Caenorhabditis elegans: one gene and its partner. The protein of the gene in region 1 purifies or fractionates together with the protein of each later gene. This does not show direct contact. Each region holds a gene or a part of one and is shown on either strand. Other genes may lie near its edges.

The links.
Region 2: the proteins of cest-9.1 (region 1) and smr-1 fractionate together in Caenorhabditis elegans (co-fractionation; one large-scale study listed by BioGRID). This does not show direct contact.

The regions. Positions count from the first base shown.
Region 1 is NC_003284.9:12,222,247-12,232,052, reverse strand, and holds cest-9.1 (Carboxylesterase type B domain-containing protein), read right to left. Parts: upstream 5,872-9,806; 5' UTR 5,821-5,871; coding exon 5,686-5,820; intron 5,638-5,685; coding exon 5,540-5,637; intron 5,353-5,539; coding exon 5,253-5,352; intron 5,205-5,252; coding exon 5,003-5,204; intron 4,473-5,002; coding exon 4,349-4,472; intron 4,298-4,348; coding exon 4,180-4,297; intron 4,133-4,179; coding exon 3,929-4,132; intron 3,742-3,928; coding exon 3,600-3,741; intron 3,553-3,599; coding exon 3,298-3,552; intron 3,243-3,297; coding exon 3,085-3,242; intron 2,522-3,084; coding exon 2,213-2,521; 3' UTR 2,103-2,212; downstream 1-2,102. Other genes in the region: cest-7 (Carboxylic ester hydrolase), read right to left, coding at 3-147, 387-566, 1,033-1,274, 1,321-1,522, 1,575-1,674, 1,732-1,829, 1,911-2,102; cest-9.2 (Carboxylic ester hydrolase), read right to left, coding at 6,107-6,415, 6,685-6,842, 6,892-7,146, 7,195-7,336, 7,422-7,625, 7,675-7,792, 7,841-7,964, 8,089-8,290 and 3 more; cest-8 (Carboxylic ester hydrolase), read right to left, coding at 9,362-9,652, 9,787-9,806.
Region 2 is NC_003281.10:1,140,073-1,148,143, reverse strand, and holds smr-1 (Tudor domain-containing protein), read right to left. Parts: upstream 4,973-8,071; 5' UTR 4,955-4,972; coding exon 4,829-4,954; intron 4,751-4,828; coding exon 4,673-4,750; intron 4,608-4,672; coding exon 4,511-4,607; intron 4,443-4,510; coding exon 4,318-4,442; intron 3,965-4,317; exon of another isoform or gene 3,876-3,964; intron 3,294-3,875; coding exon 3,000-3,293; 3' UTR 2,933-2,999; downstream 1-2,932. Other genes in the region: acsd-1 (2-amino-3-carboxymuconate-6-semialdehyde decarboxylase), read right to left, coding at 5,294-5,467, 5,961-6,326, 7,693-7,779, 8,048-8,071.

The DNA.
Region 1 (9,806 bases):
ACTGATATTTGTGAACTTGTTCCTATATACATTCACAGTGTCCACAGGATTTTCAAAATCTAAGAAAGTCGCACTAATGTAATACCCATCCGGATACTTGAATATGGTAAATTCGTTATCGGTAACTCCACACAGCATGTTTCTTGCCTTAAATTAAAGTTTTTTAATTCATCATAGTTTTTCTCCCGCTTCATAAAATTCTATTGAAGCTGAACTGAAATGTGTAAACAAATAATAAATGAATGCATTCAGTAAGAAAACTCAATATCGAAAACCTACCAAAACATTTATATCTATAGTCTTTAGTAATGGCTAGCAAATAATAACAAAACAATACAATTTTAAGTTCATAAGAAATACGGTATATCGCTGGTAATGAGACTTACCGTTACATTCTCTTTAAACTCGGATAGCTTTTGTTTTACATCCATTAACGGTGGAGCTCTAATAATTGCTTTGAAAAATAATAGATCAACGTCGTCCATTACCGTTTGAGTTTGTAATAGTTGTAAAGCATCAATATTTCGCATGCAGTCAACAATTTCTTGGCTGTTTTCAGATGTGCACTGAAATGAAGAATTACACCAAACGTATCAAGGAGATTATAAGTTTGTCCGAATTTCAATTTTAAAAGTTTGAAGTGACATTTGAAAGTTCATTATTCCGTTTCACAAACTCTCGGTGCTGACAAAAAAACTGAATAATTTGATATGGTTTATATCAGCGAATTATACAATGCCTTCACGAAAAAAAAGTCTGCCGGCACGACCACTCATTATCAGATAATTTCCACCAGTACAATTTTTGTTTGGGGTACCGACTGGTGCATTGTTGCCTCCGGCTGTATTTTCTTAAAGTTTTTAGTCACTACTTCTCAAACGTTTTGTGTAGTATTGGTTCAAAAAATAACTCCAACTATATTTTTAGGTTATTTGAGAGAGAGAGAGAGACCTTTGGTTTCAATTCACTAATGTAGTGAACTATAACCAGGTTTCAAAGAAATATAGTTTTATCTTATAAGAACCAACATACATTATGCCTTCGTGCAATTTCATATGAATTTCCGATTTGGAGATCTTCAAATCCATACATTCCAATTGAGCTCAGCACTATAAACTGTTGAAATAACTTTTTTTCTGGGTCTATTTGATTTGAGAACCCCATTGCATTCACCAGCTGTCCTCCTGATGAATGGCCCATAAGAGTGACGTAATTGGGGTCACCTCCAAAACTAGCAATATTGTCGTGTACAAAGTTTAACGATCTGATGCAATCTTAAAAAATCTTTTTTAGACATCACGACTTCCTGTATATTATTACCGTGTATTAATAAATTTGCTGGTACTATTCCCTGTTCACCCAAATAAAATTGCCCAAAAACTCCCAAGCGATAAGCGGGTATCGCAAAAACAATTCCGCTATCTACGTATCTTTCCAATATGAATTTATCGGGAAACATTGTTGCCGAGTCTAAATTGAATGATCCTCCATGATAATAAACTAATACTGGACATTTGTGAGCCTGTAAAAACCCCGACGTTGAACTGGCTGTCATTTGAAGCAGTTCTTATCACCAGGCAGTACTCGCTTGTAAAAATATTGATGTATAGACAGTCTTCGCTGATGTTTTCTTGTTGCGCAGAAGCTAGACTCGAGTTACTCAAACATGCGGCGCTGAAATTTAGTTCAGATAAATGAAAGTTAAATAAATTCTTCGAATTTTAAAAACACCTGTATTTCGAACCATCCAAAACACCATTCCATGTGTTTGGCTCTTCAGGAAGGGCAAATCTTAATAATCCTAAAGGAGGTTTAGCAAATGGAATGCCCTGAAAACATTTTAGAATCAATGTTTTTTTAAAATTCTGTTCAAGCTCATTTTCGAATATCATATGCATCTTGAAACTTACCTTGAATATATATTTATGATTCCTCTTATCACTAAAATCAGTGATTCCTCGAACTTTTCCATAATTTGTGTTCAAAACTTTAAAGCTTTTCACACTCAATGCCAACAGAGCAAGTGTATAGAAAAATATTTTCATTTTTTTAAACTGAATAGCACTGACAAGTTGAAGATGAGTTGATAAAAATGTGCGCATTGATAAGTTTTATTTGTCTGATTTGTCTGGGTTTGGTAAAAGCTGTGTTTTAATCGATTGACTCTATTCGTCTAGACACAAAAACTTTATTTCAATGTTCAAACCGTTATCTAACTCAATAAAGGAAGTTCCTCTTCTCTCTTTGGTTTTCGGAGACAAATAACAATCAACACAACTAATAATATCATCAAAAATATAATTAAATAAAACCACCATTGTTTCAAAATTGAAGAGCCATTTTTTAGTAATGAAGATTGTGCTGAAGCTGTAGTAGTTACGGTGTTACTATTGTTATCCTGATGGATTGATGTAAATCCCTTAGTAGTTTTTGTAAGGATTTCAGGTTTATTAGTCGTTTCCCAGTACTTAAGTTGCGTCTCTATGTCAAGATGTTCCGGAGGCAAACCTTGTGATTGTCTCTGAAACCAAATTTATTTTAAAGGCTTTGAAATGGCCAATCATTATTTTTGAACTGCTTGTTTTAAAATAACATAAGCTTTTCACACATCGCGAGATTATCACGGCTGAACATATTTTCAAATAATATGCAGAATTAGCTGAAAACTTGCCGATTTATTCCAGCACGCAAATTCCAAAAACATGGACGTACCGAATTTGCCGACCTCGGAAAGGTATGAAATTGGTCACACATGCTACAATTTCGAAACAAGTGAAACAAAAATAATATATTTTTTTCAAAAAGTCAAATACAAAAAGTCAAATACAATAACAGTGTTCGTTTCATATTTTTTAAATCAAGAATTCTACATGCACATTAAACAAAACTTAGCCGTATACACTTTGCAATTTCCTGTGTTAAAACGAATTTCAAAAAATTTGCGATTTGACGTGCCGAAAAATATGAAAAAAAATATACATATTTGCCAAGTTTTCCGATATCGAGAAATTTACACATCTGATTTTTAGCACTTTTAGAAGTTTTCAACGCAAATTTGACTTCAAAAAAAATTAAAATTCTCACTATTTTTGTAACATTTCTGTCAAATTCCATCATTTCTCCAAACCACAGTTCCATTTCTTTTTCGTGAAAACCTTCAAGCATAACTGGTCCTTCTTTCATGTCAGAATCTACCTTTAGCTCTAGATAGTTCATTCTTTCGGGGTCAAGTGGTGCCCATTCTGCAAATTTGGGTTTTATTTAAACAAAGACATCTATAAATAATTTTGTAGTCACCTGGAGATGGCACTCCCATTTTTGTAAAATTCACGAGCAGTTTAGAATAAAAAGTATCCAAAATATCCATGTCAGGTCTATGATAAATTTCTCGATGAATCCCAACAAAATATTGCATATCAGATACATGGAAACTATACGGTTTTTGTCGGGTTTCAAAAAGATACACATCAGCTCCAGTATTTGCCATTGCAGTCGAAAATGTTGAAGCACATATGAAAATTGCAGCTGCATCTCCATTTATCATAGTTTCCACTAAATACGTTTAGTATAAAAGTTTCACGTGTGAAGATTTTACTTACAATTTGCCATGAGCTGTTCGTCGTAGTATCTCGCAACTGCAACTGGGTTGTCAAAATCTAAAAAGATTCCAGAAATGTAGGGATTCATGTGGTCAACATTGCGAAATTCATGCTCTGTCGTTCCATATAGTAGGTTTCGTGACTGAAATTTAACCAATTGGAAAGAAAGTAAAAAAAATAAATCCCAGAGACCAACTCAAGGTTGCATATTGTAGTGATTTAAAATAGAATCGTAAACGGTACTAAGACCAAATTAAGGTAAATTAAGTTAACAAAAGATTAATCGGTTTTCTTTTTTGACAAAAATTTTTGCATATTTTTAGATTTACCGGCGGGGATTTTTTGAGGTCTGCAATTTTCCCATTCGACTCCAAAAATGGGGCACCTCTCAGAACGCTTCTAAAATCTCGATCATCCACTTCTTCCATATGCCGCTGCATAAGTAACATTTCGCGTCCATCAATTTGTCTCATGCAATCCAGCATTTCTGCAATATTTGCATTTGGGCGGTCGTCCTTTGTTCCATTGTAACACTGAAATACGAATGAATTAGATGGAATTATGGATCAACGTTAATCACCCCAAACTTCTCAACAATGGCGAACGAATTATCAACCACCATGTCATAAAATCCAAACATTCCTGTAGCACTCAACACTATCATCTGTTGAAATAGTTTGACACCTGGATCGATGAGTCTGTAAAAATAATTCATTATAACAACGTGATATTTCGAAAAAGCGTTAAACTTTGAAAATCCCAATGCATCCACAATAGTGCCGCCAGATGAGTGTCCCATTGCAGTTACACGTTTCGAATCGCCGCCAAAATAGTTTATCTCACTGTGAACAAAACTTAATGCTTGAACAGCGTCTGAATATGTAAAAATTAAATGTGTTGTCGTTGTTTTTTTAAATAATGTTTTTAACTCAGAAAAATTATTCTACAACTGGTTGATCTGATGCCCGCTTTTCTTTTTCAAGATTCCAGGCGTTTTTCAAACATATGTGTATAGGGCTGTGCAACCGGACGTCCGGTCGTCAGAACCGGACGATCATCGTCCGGTTTTAGAAAAAAAAACCAGTTTTTAGAACTTTGAAAATTTTCCGAGAGGTATGTTTTCACGGCGGCCGACAATTTCCGAGTTTGGCCACTCATTATAAAATTCTATGATGAAGTATAGCGAGTGGCCAATCTCGGAAATTGTGAAAACATACTTCTCGGAAAAATTTCAAAGTTCTAAAAACGGGTTTTTTTTTCTAAAACCGGACGATGATCGTCCGGTTCGGACGGCCGGACGTCCGGTTGCACAGCCCTACATATGTATAAGTTTTAAGCATGACGTGGTAACGGTTTTTCGTTTAAAATTTAAATTCTTCAGTTTAAATAGTCTTTATGCTTACCATACAGGAATAAATTCTCAGAAAGAAGGTCACTCGGACCAAAATACAACTGTCCAAACACTCCTAACCGAACGGCTGGAATTACGAAAACCACGTCTTCCGCAGCATATCTATCCAAAATAAATGTATCATTGAACATTATTGCTGAGTCTAAATTGTATGCACCACCATGAAAGTACACGATTACAGGACACTTGGAATTCTGAAATTAGAATATCGATAAAACTATTCGGATTCAATGGAGGTTTACCAAACATTTTTCACTGGTGAAAATATTTATGTAGAGGCAATCTTCGCTGTAGTGTTTTTGCGGTGTGCTGGTTGAAGAAGAATTGCTCATGCATGCTGGACTGAAAAACCACAAATAATTGTTTCAACTCAAAAATAAGAAGCCATATTGTTTTGGGTAAAAACTGCGTGCTCAATTTTAAAGCTTTACCCCCTAGAGAATTTTGTAGTTTCCGATGTTATACAGATCAATTGCTTCAGATGACCTTTATTTTTTTAATTTCTCGAACTCTGAAAAACTATGACTACCTATATTTCGATGCATCCAGAATACCGCTCCACGATTCCGGATTCTGAGGCTTCGCAAACCTCAAATTACCTACTGGCGGCTTTGCGAATGGAACACTCTAAAATATTCTCCATTTGTAGGATACACTTTGAATCACCCAACTCACTTTAAACATATATCGATGATTTTTGTCATTGGACCATACAGTAATTCCACGTAATTTTCCATAACTAGTTTGGATAACTTTCAAACTTTGAAATTGAGGAATAAACAAAATCAATAAAAACAAATGTATAAACATTGTCCTCGACAAAAATGTCAACAACTAAATGATAAACTTATTGGGGTTTGCACTTCTGATAAAATGCCTTTTGTCTTGCAGAAATTGATAGTGCTGTAATTGTGACCATTTGAATATAAAACAAGAAGTATTGATTATAGCCAAACGAGTATTGAATTTTATAAAATTTTTTATTACAATCAAAACGTTGAAAAGTTTCACTCTGTTGTGAAACAATATTCAAAAATAAATAAATAATAAAAAATAGTTATATTCACCGTACGTTCAAGAAATTAACTTTAATTTTCTAACTCAATAAAGGAACTTCTTCTTCTCGTCTTGGTTTCCGAAGGGAAATAAAAATCAATACAAAAATCATAACAACTAAAGCTATAATCAAGTAGAACCACCATTGTTGAAGAATTGGTGTACTATTTTTGAATTCTCGCGATATGTATTGAGCTGTGGAGGTGAATAGGACATTGGTGCTTGTAGAAATGTTTTCTTGAGTCGCATTGTTTGCGTGTGCAGTAGTTCTTGGTTCAACTATGGAGCTCCAGTATTTCAACTGTGATTCTACACCTTGGTTTTCACGTGGTAACCCTTTAGATTGTCTCTGAAAAATAATTGTTACAAAATCTAAGTAATGAAAAAATTTAATAACCAGTTCACTACTTTTTTTAGCTCGAAAAGTTTTAATTAAAAAATTTTTAAGAACAGTTTATAAACAAAGCTTGATGATTTCTAAATTGTTTTTCTTTTAGTATTTATGTAAGTGCAAGTCATGGAACTTAAATTAATTTTTCTAAATTTCGAATTATATTCATAGTTACTTTACTTGAGTTTGTCATTAATGAACGAAACATGATTTTTATTGAATTTTACCATTTTCGTGATGTTCCTGTCATAGTCCATCATATCTCCGTACCAGAAAGAAACTTCTTTATCGTGATAGCCTTCAAGCATTACTGGACCTTTGCCATTTCTGGTATCAACTCTCAATTCCAAATAGTTCATCTTTTCTGGTTCCAGGGAGTTCCATTCTATAATAATTTTATGTAATTGAAAAATGTACACCTACAAGAAAATTACCAGGAGATGGCGCTCCTGTTTTAGTGAAATTGACCAGCAGCTTCGAATAGAAACTATCCAAAATATCCATATCATGAGTGTGCAAAACTTCTCTATGAATGCCAATAAAGTATTGCATATCAGAAACGTGAAAACTGTAGGGCCATTGTCGGGTCTCGAAAAGGTAAACGTCTGCACCCGCATTAGCCATTGCTGAAGAAAAAGCTGCAGCTGATACGAATATTGATACGGCATCTCCATTGATCATGGTATCCACTGAACTTTTTCAAAAATTACGTGAACACATTCTAAATCTGGGCTTACTGTTCTGCATCAGCTCATCGTCAAAATGTTGAGCAACTGCTACTGGATTTTCAAAATCTAAAAATGTTGTTGTGATATAGAGATATCTCTCCACTTCGTTGCGAAACTCATATTCTGTCGTTCCAAAGATTGCATTTCTTGGCTGGAAACAAATTTTTATGACCTTGAAAATGTTTATAATTATCTTCCTAATTTTATTACTTGCTTATTCTGATTTTCAAGCTTACCGATGTTGAATTTCTGAACTTTTCAATTTTCCCATTCAATTCCATGAATGGTGCTCCTCTCAAAAGACTCTTAAAAGTCAACTTGTAAACATCTTCCATATGTTTTTGCATTCCTACTATTTCATGGCCATCAATTTGTCTCATGCATTCAAGAATTTCAGCAATATTTGCGTCGGTGCGCTCTTCCTGTGTGCCGTTGAAACACTGAAACGAAGTTCGATTTATTCAACAAAACATATTTCAGTTTGTTCACCCCTAATTTTTCAGAAATAATAAACGAGTTGTCAACCAGCAAGTCGTAAAATCCAAACATCCCTGTGCCACTTAAAACGATAATTTGCTGGAACAACTTCAAGTCTGGGTCAACAGAACTGAAAAATAAAATGTTTTCTGCAGCCAAGCAACTCAAAATTTGGTACTTTGAAAATCCCAAGGCTTCTACAAGTGTTCCGCCTGAAGAGTGTCCCATGATGGTCACTTGTTTTGGGTCACCACCAAAGTTTGGTATTTCGTTGTGAACAAAGTCAAGCGCTTGAACCGCGTCTGTAAACTTTAAATTATTGCTTCTTATATTTTCGCATTTTATTAAATCTTTCTATTAATATTTAAAAAAAAACAATTTTCCATCATGATTTAGAATAAAAACAAAATTGTGTTGTTTTCTCACCAAACATGAAAAGATTCTCAGTTAGAAGAGCACTTGGACCAAAATATAACTGTCCAAACACTCCTAATCGAACTCCAGGAATTGCTAAAATTACGTCTTCCGCAACGTATCTCTCCAATATGAAATTGTCCGGAAACATTGTAGCAGAGTCTCCATTGTATGCGCCACCATGAAAATAGACTATAACAGCACATTTAGACCTCTGAATTGGAATACAATAACATCAATTTTAAAGTTTCAGTTGAAAAATACCAAACATTTTTCGCTAGTGAAAATATTTATGTACAGACAATCTTCGCTGACGTGTTCTTGTGGAGTGCTAGTTGTCGATGAGTTGCTCAAGCACGCAGGACTGGAAAACAATAAATTTTAAATTCACCTTTGTTTGGAGCGAAATACATGTGAGAGTTTCTGTTTTTTTTTGTTTCTGGGTCATTGGTCCCAACATCATTAAACGGCCGAAACAGTTTTTTTTATTGAGGATGACAGTTATAAATTTGTGGCAAGTGATATATCTTTCTAGATTGAGTTTTTGAATGATTCAAAACATTGTATGAACCCTTATGATATGTTTTCTTAAATAGTTTCATAAGCTTGAATAAAATAGTTCGAATTTTATTGCATTGTGGTTTCTATTATATTTCTCATTTTCAATATTCTCAATGTTCATTACCTATACTTTGATGCATCGAGAACACCGCTCCATGAATCCGGATACTGTGGAGGTGCAAATCGCAACTTTCCTATTGGCGGCTTGGCAAACGGTACACTCTGAAAAACAAAGCAGTTTTCTTCCAAATGTTCTTCAATCTAACTCACTTTAAACATATACTTGTGATTATTGTCATCTGACCATTCCGTTATTCCACGTACTCTTCCATAACTTGTTTCTATTACTTTCAAACTTTGTATATCAGGAAACAACAAAATTAGTTTGAACAGTATAAACTTTTTTAAAGACATTTTCGTTTACAACAAATATAATAATGTTTTCATTGATGTTTGAAAAACTGATTGAAAGGCAGTGGTCTTGAAAGCACAATACTGACTGATAAAACGTATAGTGGTAGACAGAAAACACGCGGGTTATCTTTACTAACTCAAAAACATTAACATTTTGTCTAGTAATTGACGATATTAGAGTTATAAGTGTTTGAGATACGCCGATTCTGATTGATTTTCATGTAATTAAAAATTTTTCAAATTTACAATTTCAGCTGTGAACTTATAACACGGCACGTATATAGCTTTATTTACATATTGACAGTTGTTTTTAACTTAATAAAGGAGTGATCTCGCCATTTCTTGATTTTTTGAAAGATAATATGACTAAGCCAATAGTCATTGCACAAACTGCTATTATTAAATAAAACCACCACTGATAAAGAATCGAAATGTCAGTTCTAAATATAATGGCTTGATCTGTAGTGTTTATTATGAAGTGAGTGCTATCGACTAGTTTCTGTTGATTTTTCGCATCAAAATTCTGGTATACAATAAAGTTCCAATATTGTCGTTGTGATTTTGTATCTTGTCTTTCTGGTGGCAGTCCTTCGGAATGTCGCTAAAACGAAAAATTCTACAGGTACACTTGTAAATTGGTTGTTAGATAATCAGTATGCAACATTCTATACATAGGCTTTGAGTAAATAATTTAGCTCTTGCTTCAAGAAAATTTTTAACGTGACTATTTCATACCATTTTTGACACGTTTTGAT
Region 2 (8,071 bases), on another chromosome or scaffold:
ATCTCCGGCGCTCAAGTGATTGAATCTTCAAACTTTCAATTTCTTATCAGCGCCGGGGATAATCGGGGGCGCCGTACAGTTTTCTCCTGGGCGAGGAGGAAAAAAGTGAAAAGCATCGGGGGAATCGAGAACTGATAAAGGAATTCTCATCCGCCGTGAGTGTGTATGTGATCAGTAGCCGCCGGGACGGGTGGGTAAAAAACTGCATAACGAGTCACGAATTGATGATTGGGGGAAAGGATTTGTGACCCGCCAATTTTCGAGGAATTTTCATGTGATGTGGGGAGGGTGAAGCTGTGTTTGTGGAAAAAGGGGGTATATCACTTTTTTTGACGAAAAACATTAGTTTTTAAAAAATTCCAACAGAAAAAATTCGGTATTTTCTGAAAATTACACCAAATTTGTGAAAAAAAATGCCAGTTTTGCGAACATGGTGGCATCTTGATGCATAGTTTGGGAAAATTGCCTTTTCGTCTTTTGAAGGGATATTGGTTTGAGGTTAGTGGAGGGATTTGGCCGGGGTACTGTAGGGGTACTGTAGGAATGCTGTAGTTTGGGAAAAATTGACTTTTGAAGGAATATTGGTTTGGGGTTAGTCGGGGGATATGGTCGGGGTACTGTAGTAGTACTGTAGGGGTACTGTAGGAGTACTGTAGGGGTACTGTAGTAGTGCTGTAGTAGTACTGTAGGGGTTCTGTAGGAGTACTGTAGTTTTGGAAAAATTGACTTTTGAAGGGATATTGGTTTGGGGTTAGTTGGGGGATATGGTCGGGGTACTGTAGTAGTACTGTAGGGGTTCTGTGTTTTCGTTAAAATTAAAAATTAGGTGCAAGTTTTGACCCTTGATGCACCATGGCCGCGCCAAATCCCGGCGGTGGCCTAGTTTTTGCAGCTCGGCCACCGTGGCGGTGCAACAAATGGTGAAACATGTGCTATTACAAAATTTGAATTTCCAGTGAAAAATTTGAACGGAAATATGCCGGAAAACTTCATTTTTAGCTAAAAATCTATCAAATTCGGCGGCAACTTCAAATTTTTGAGATACATTTTTTTGGCGCGAAATTCGAATTTTCAAACCTTTTCCAAACTTTGGCAAATATATTATATTTTAAACGAAAAAAAGTGGAACGGTATTACGTATCCGCTAGCTAGCCGGCGGCGGCTAATATGTACACACGGCGGGCGAATGGAAAAACTAGTGAAATAATAATAGAATAATAAGAAAAACGCACGAGTAAAAGGCGCGCACCGATTAGAAATTAGCCTCCCATCTTCACTTTTCGGCTAGTTTTCACCTCTTCAGGCGCTGCTGGAGACAGTCTGATCGATGCACCATGATCAGAAAGCCGAGTTTTCCTGGAAAGAAACTGGAAAATTGTCAATCACAACAGGCATTTTTGGCGCGAATTTAAATATTTCACGGCTAAAAAGCGCGTTAAAATGTTTATTTTTTGGAATTTTTTCAAAAGTGTTAAAATTCAAGGATTAATTTTTCCAAAACTACAGTAATCCTACCGTACCCCTACAGTACCCCGACCATATCCCTCCACTAACCCCAAACCAATGTCCCTTCAAAAGACGAAAAGACAATTTTTCCAAAACTACAGTAATCCTACCGTACCCCTACAGTACCCCGACCATATCCCTCCACTAACCCCAAACCAATATCCCTTCAAAAGACGAAAAGACAATTTTTCCAAAACTAAAGTAATCTTACCGTATTCCTACAGTACTCCTAGCGTACCCCTACAGTACTACTATTGATTTTTTTTTCTGATTTTTAACTCGCAAAAAATTTTCCTTTGGTCCACCCCCGCGGTGGCCGAACTGCAAAAACTAGGCCACCGCCGGGTTTTGGCGCGGTCATGGTGCATTGAAGCTCAAAATTTGCACCTACGCTCAAATTTTAACAGTTTTCAAAATTCAAAAATTATTTTTCCTTAAACATTGATGTTTTTTTTTTCAAAATTTTCCAAAATTTTCGGAAATTTGAAAAAAAAAACCTTTCGAGACCTTTCTTCAATGCACCTAAACTACAGTAATCCTACAGTACTCCTACAGCACCCCGACCATATCCCCCCCACTAACCCTGAACCAATATCCGTTCAAAAGTCGAAAAAGTCAATTTTTCTCAAACCACAGTTATCCTACCTTTTCCAAAACTACAGTACCCCTACAGAACCCCTACAGTACTACTACAGCACTACTACAGTACCCCTACAGTACTCCTACAGTACCCCTACAGTACTACTACAGTACCCCGACCATATCCCTCGACTAACCCCAAACCAATATCCCTCAAATGACAAAAAGTCAGTTTTTTCAAAAACTACAGTAATCCTACATTACCCCGACCTTATCCCCCCACTAACCCCAAACCAATATCCCTTGAAAAGTCAATTTTTCCCAAACTACAGTACCACTACAGTACTACTACAGTACCCCGACCATATCCCCTCGAAAGACGAAAACACTTTTTTCCAAAACTACAGTATTCCTACAGTACCCCTACAGTACCCCGGCCATATCCCCCCACTAACCTCAAACCAATATCCCTTCAAAAGACGAAAAGTCAATTTTCCCAAACTACAGTAATCCTACAGTACCCCTACAGTACCCCGACCATATCCCCTCAAATGACAAAAAGTCAAGTTATCCCTAACTACAGTACTACTACAGTACCTCTACAGCACTACTACAGTACCCCTACAGTACTCCTACAGTACTACTACAGTACCCCTACAGTACGCCGACCATATCCCCCCACTAACCCTAAACCAATGTCCGTTCAAAAGACAAAAAAGCCAACTTTTCCCAAACTACAGTAATCCTACCGTACTCCTACAGTACCCGACCATATCCCCCGACACCTGAAACGATCCACCATGTCCGAAAAAAAGTGTTTTTTGGCATTTTTTCACAATTTCCGGGAAAAAATCGAGTTTTTATTATATCAAGAACACAAAAAAAGTACAGTAAAATCGGATATACAAGAGAGCTCAAAAAAGTGAATCCATAGCTCCACGGGTGGCTTTAAAAATGAACTGAGAGCTTCTCGACGAGACGATCGTTCCTCGCTTCTCTCCGCCGCCGCCGCTGCTGCTCGCCGAGCCATCCTGGCTTGATCCTGTCGCCGAAACCTTCTTCAGGCCCTTCAGACCTTTCGCGTTGGCTTTTGTGTTGAATTTTTGCCAACTTTTCTTCTCGCCATCCTTTATCGAGTCGAGCTCCTTCTGTTTTTGCTGTTTTTTGAGCGCTTTTTGACGTCGGCGCTCCTTTTCTGCTTGCCATTCCTGGAAATTTGAAAAAATTTGATTTTTTTTTTGAATTTTTCAGCAATTTCCAGCAATTTTCATGCTAAAATTCAAATTCTCCGCTTAATTTTACCCCAAATGGACCTTTGTCAGGGCCTATAGCTCAAAATTTGAATTTCGAGGGTTACGGTAGCGCCAAAGTACGCAAACACCGCCTAGGCACCGAATTTTACGAAAATTTGCATAAATTGGCTGAAAAACGGGCTACGGGGGTAAAAAGTGATGGAAAAGTCGATATTTGGGCTGAATATCTGTGAAAATTACGAGTTTTTCGGTAAAATTAAAAATTTGGGCATAGCTTCCGCATCTCCGAGTGACAAATGTGCTTTATTGTCAAATTGTTGGCAGAAATACGGTATTTACCTACATTTTCAGCCAATTTAAGACTGAAAATGTAAATAAAAACAGTTTTTATGCCATCAATCCGAGTAGAAGCACATGAGTCACGGAAATATCGATTTTTGGGATTTTCTAGAGATTTAAACTAGAAATTTTGCGATTTTCAGTTTAAAATCGTTTTTATCGTCTATATTTGACATAAAAATCCAAAAAAAATCGATGAAAATGGCTTAAAACCATCATTTTCAGATTGGTGGCCTAGAAATCCCAAAAGTTAGGCCACCAATCTATTTTGTGCAAAAAACCGATTTCCAGGGGTAAAAATGAGTGAGAAACTCGATTTCCAACTGAAAATTTGAGAAAAATCACTTTAAATGTGAAAAATCAAGATTTCTGCATTTTGCCGTAAGACTTGTGGTGTTTGCGTACTTTTGGAGCTACAGTACCCCGGAAAGTCCAAAAAATCGATGAAAATTTCACGAAAAAAGCCGTTTTATCCGGAAAAACGTCAATTTCTAGAAATTCCTGCAGAAAATAGTCGATAAAAGCTGAAAAAGTGTCAATTTTTGGTGATTTTTGCGATTTTTAGCTCAAAAATATTGCAAAAACGGGGTTTTTCTGGTTTTTTACAGAAGAACAAGGAATTTTTTCCATTTTTTCCAACCTTTTTGCCGTGTTGAGTCGATGGTCCGGCCGCCGACTTTGTGTTATCAAATGCATAATTTTTTCGCTGATTTTCGGGCGGGAGTTGGAGATCAGCGGGATCTACGATGGTTTTCGTGCCGGTAGCTGAAAAAATACGAATTTTTGGTGAAAATTCACGATTTTTGGGCTAAAAATCGATAAAATCCCCCTACATGTGAAGGTAATAGCCACTCCGGCGGGCGTAAGTGAGTCGATTCTGGCGAAAACCTTTTTTCCGTCGGGATGTGGGGCGATAACTCGTTCGCCGACCTGAAAAATCGATTTTTAGCTGAAAAATTGGCGAAAATCGGGGTTTTTTCGCTGAAAATCCGTACCGTCCACTTGTGAATCACTTGCGGAGCCACCACAGCCCTCTCTGATGATTCTGCCTTGTCGGTTTCCGCCAAATCTTCCTGAAAATTGGAAAAAAATCAGTTTTTATTGATTTTTTTTCGAAAATTTTGCATTTTCTCCGCTTTTTTTCACACTACCTGCAGCGAAATAATCTCCCCGAGGTCTTCCTTCAACTTGAGAAGCTCCACATTCGTCGGATCGCCGAGCAAAGCCGCCTCGACCTGCTGGAGCTGAAGTTTGTAAGAGGCGAGCTCTTCCTCCATTTTTCCGCTATTTTTTCACTGAAAATGCTGGAAATTGGCAAGAAAATCGAGAAAAACGATGAAATTTGACTGAAAAATGGCAAAAAATCAAGAAAAATCAAGAAAAACCGGCGAAAATCCGGCGAAAATCGATGAAATAAAATGTATTTTCAAAAAGACGAGAAACGCGTCAGCAAAATCGAGTATTGCGCCAGCAACCCCACTCTTGCGCATTTCTCGTTTTCGGCGGGTATTTGAATGTGAAAACATCGTTTTTCGAACAAAAAGTCTAAATTCTTTATTAAAAACCAATAAAAACCCAACATGTCCCAATAAAAATCAATAAAAACCAAAAAATGATCAAAAATCCTTATTAAAAAGCAAGTTTTCATCGATATCCAGCATTTTTACAGCGTTTTTCCACAGCAAATCCTCCCTGTCCTTGGCAGAAAATGGCTTATACTCTTCCACAACTCTTCCAACTTCAAGCTCGCCAAGCGGAAATGGGTAGTCGGTGCCAAGCACTATATGCTCCTGAAAAATTGAGAAAAAATGATGAAAATTGACGGATTTCTCGCGAATGTCAAGTTTTTTTCGAAAATTGTCGCTTCGAGACCACAAATTTCTTGATTTCAAGTTAAAATTTGAATTGAGCAAGTCAAGAGCTTCAAAATAAGCCCCATATCAACTAGTTTTCGTCAAGTTTGACAGATTTCGCAATATTTCTTGGGTCTCGCCACGAAAACTTGCCTCAGCTTCTGCAAATTCGTGGCAGGACCCAAAAAATTTGAATTTTTGAATTCAGCACATTAACACCTTTCATTTGACACCCATCTTGCCTAGGTTTTCGAAATTTTGTGAATTTTGGGTGTCGCCACGCGGGGTACTGTAGCACCAGTTTCAGCTGTGTCGAAACAGGAAAATTCAAAATGAACGTAGCATAGTCATGATGGGCGTCATTTGAAAGCTGACGACGCGGGGAATTCGAATTTTCTATCTAGAACTCTCTAAAATCAAAATTGCACACCTTTCCAACGGTATTTATCAGCAGTTCGAGAGCTTTTGGGTCATGAACCAAGCTATCCGTCCACAGTAGCCCATCGAGCTTATTCGGAGCAACTTTACACTTTCCAGCACACAAGTCTGGCCTAACATTCCATCCGTGAGAAACTCGGCCACGAATCTGTGGGTAGGCGCCGCCCCCATGTGCAAAGCAGAGCTTCAACTTGGGGAAGAGCACCAAAATGTTGCCCATGAGCACTGAGCAAATGGCTTGAGCAGTTTCAGATGGCATTCCGACGAGCCATGGCATCCAGTATTTGTCCAGCCGCCCGTCCCACATGTGCATATCCCAAGGATGCACAAAGAGCACCACCGAGAGCTCCTCGCAAATCTGAAAACTAGATTTTTGATTTTTTTTGATTTGAAAATATTTTAGCTGGATTCGTCTCGCCGAGAGCTTTCAAATGACACCCATCATGACTATAATCAGGCGATTTTGAATTTTCTAGCTTCGACACAGCTGAAACTAGAGCTACAGTACCCCGCGTGGCGAGACCCAGAAAATTAAAATTCGACGTAACCTAGGCATGGTGGTACTTAAATTAAAGCTCTCGATGAGCTGAATTCATTTATCTAAGTTTTGAGGGTCTCGCCACGAAATTCACAAAATTACTGTAGCTTTGAATTTTTGAGAAATTCGAAAATTTTCGAAAATCTATAACTCCGTCAGTTTTTAAGATTTTTGAATGAATTTTGTTTTACAATGTAGGAAAATTATATTTCTGTATCTTAAAAATGTTATGCTCCAGCTGGCTACTGTAGGTACAGTACTCCTGGGGTTTTTCGTGGCGAGACCCCGATTTTCGAAAAATTCACGGAACCCAGGCATGATGGTACTTAAATTGAAGCTCTCAGTGAGCTGATTTCATACAACATATTTTTGTGGGTCTCGCAACGGAATTCGCTATGCCACTGTAGTTTCAATTTAAAAAAAATTAATTCGAAAATTTTCGAAAATCGATAACTTTGCCAATTTTAGAGATTTCCAAACAAATTTTGTTTTACAATGTAGGAAAATTATATTTCTGTATCTTAAAAATGTTATACTCCAGTTGGCTACTGTAGGTACAGTACCCCGGGGTTTTTCGTGGTGAGACCCCGATTTTCGAAAAATTCACGGAACCCAGGCATGATGGTACTTAGCGAGCTGACTCGGCGAGCTGAATTCAGAAAACATAGTTTTGTGGGTTTCGCCACAAAATTCACAGAATTACTGTAGCTTTGAAATTTTTTGAGATAAAAATAATTCGAAAATTTTCGAAAATCGATAACTTTGTGAGTTTTAGAGATTTCCAAACAAATTTTGTAGGAAGTCATACAGAATCTGTGTTTTAACACTGTAAAAATGTCAAATCTAGGTCAGCTTCTGCAGGTACAGTAACCGGATTGATTTCGTGGCGAGACCCAAAAATTTCAAAAATCTATAGAACCTAGGCATGATGGTACTCAAATTGAAGCTCTCGGTGAGCTGAATTCAAACAAGATAGATTTGTGGGTCTCGCCACGATATGCACAGAAAGAAAGAAAAATACTGTAGTTTTGAAAAAAAAATTATTCGCAATTTTTCGAAATTCAATAACTCTGTCAGTTTTAGCGGCTTGGATCTCAATTTAGTCATAAAATTTAGAAAAATTTCAGTGCATCATAAAAAATCATAAAAAATGTGAAAACTTAATTTTATATTGTAGGTACAGTACCCCTGGAGTTTTCGTTGTGAGACCCCAATTTTCGAAAAATTCACAGAACCCAGGCATGATGGTACTTAATTTGAAGCTCTCGGTGAGCTGAATTCAATTTTTTTATTTAAAATTCAAAAATCTCAAAATTGAGAAAAACAATTTCCACAATTTCCCATTTTTCCCCCTCTAAATTTCTAATTTTCCAAACTATATCCCCGGGTAAAAAAGCTCAGCGGCGGGTATATAAAATGTGCGTCAAACGATGAATAAATGATAGGCTCCGCCCCTTCTTGCCCTACAAACCGCGCATTTTTCCCGGAGGCGGCGACGCAGAATTTTTGATTTTCGTACTTTTTTTTTGCTGTCGACTAACCTTATAAAGCGGCCAAAAATCACG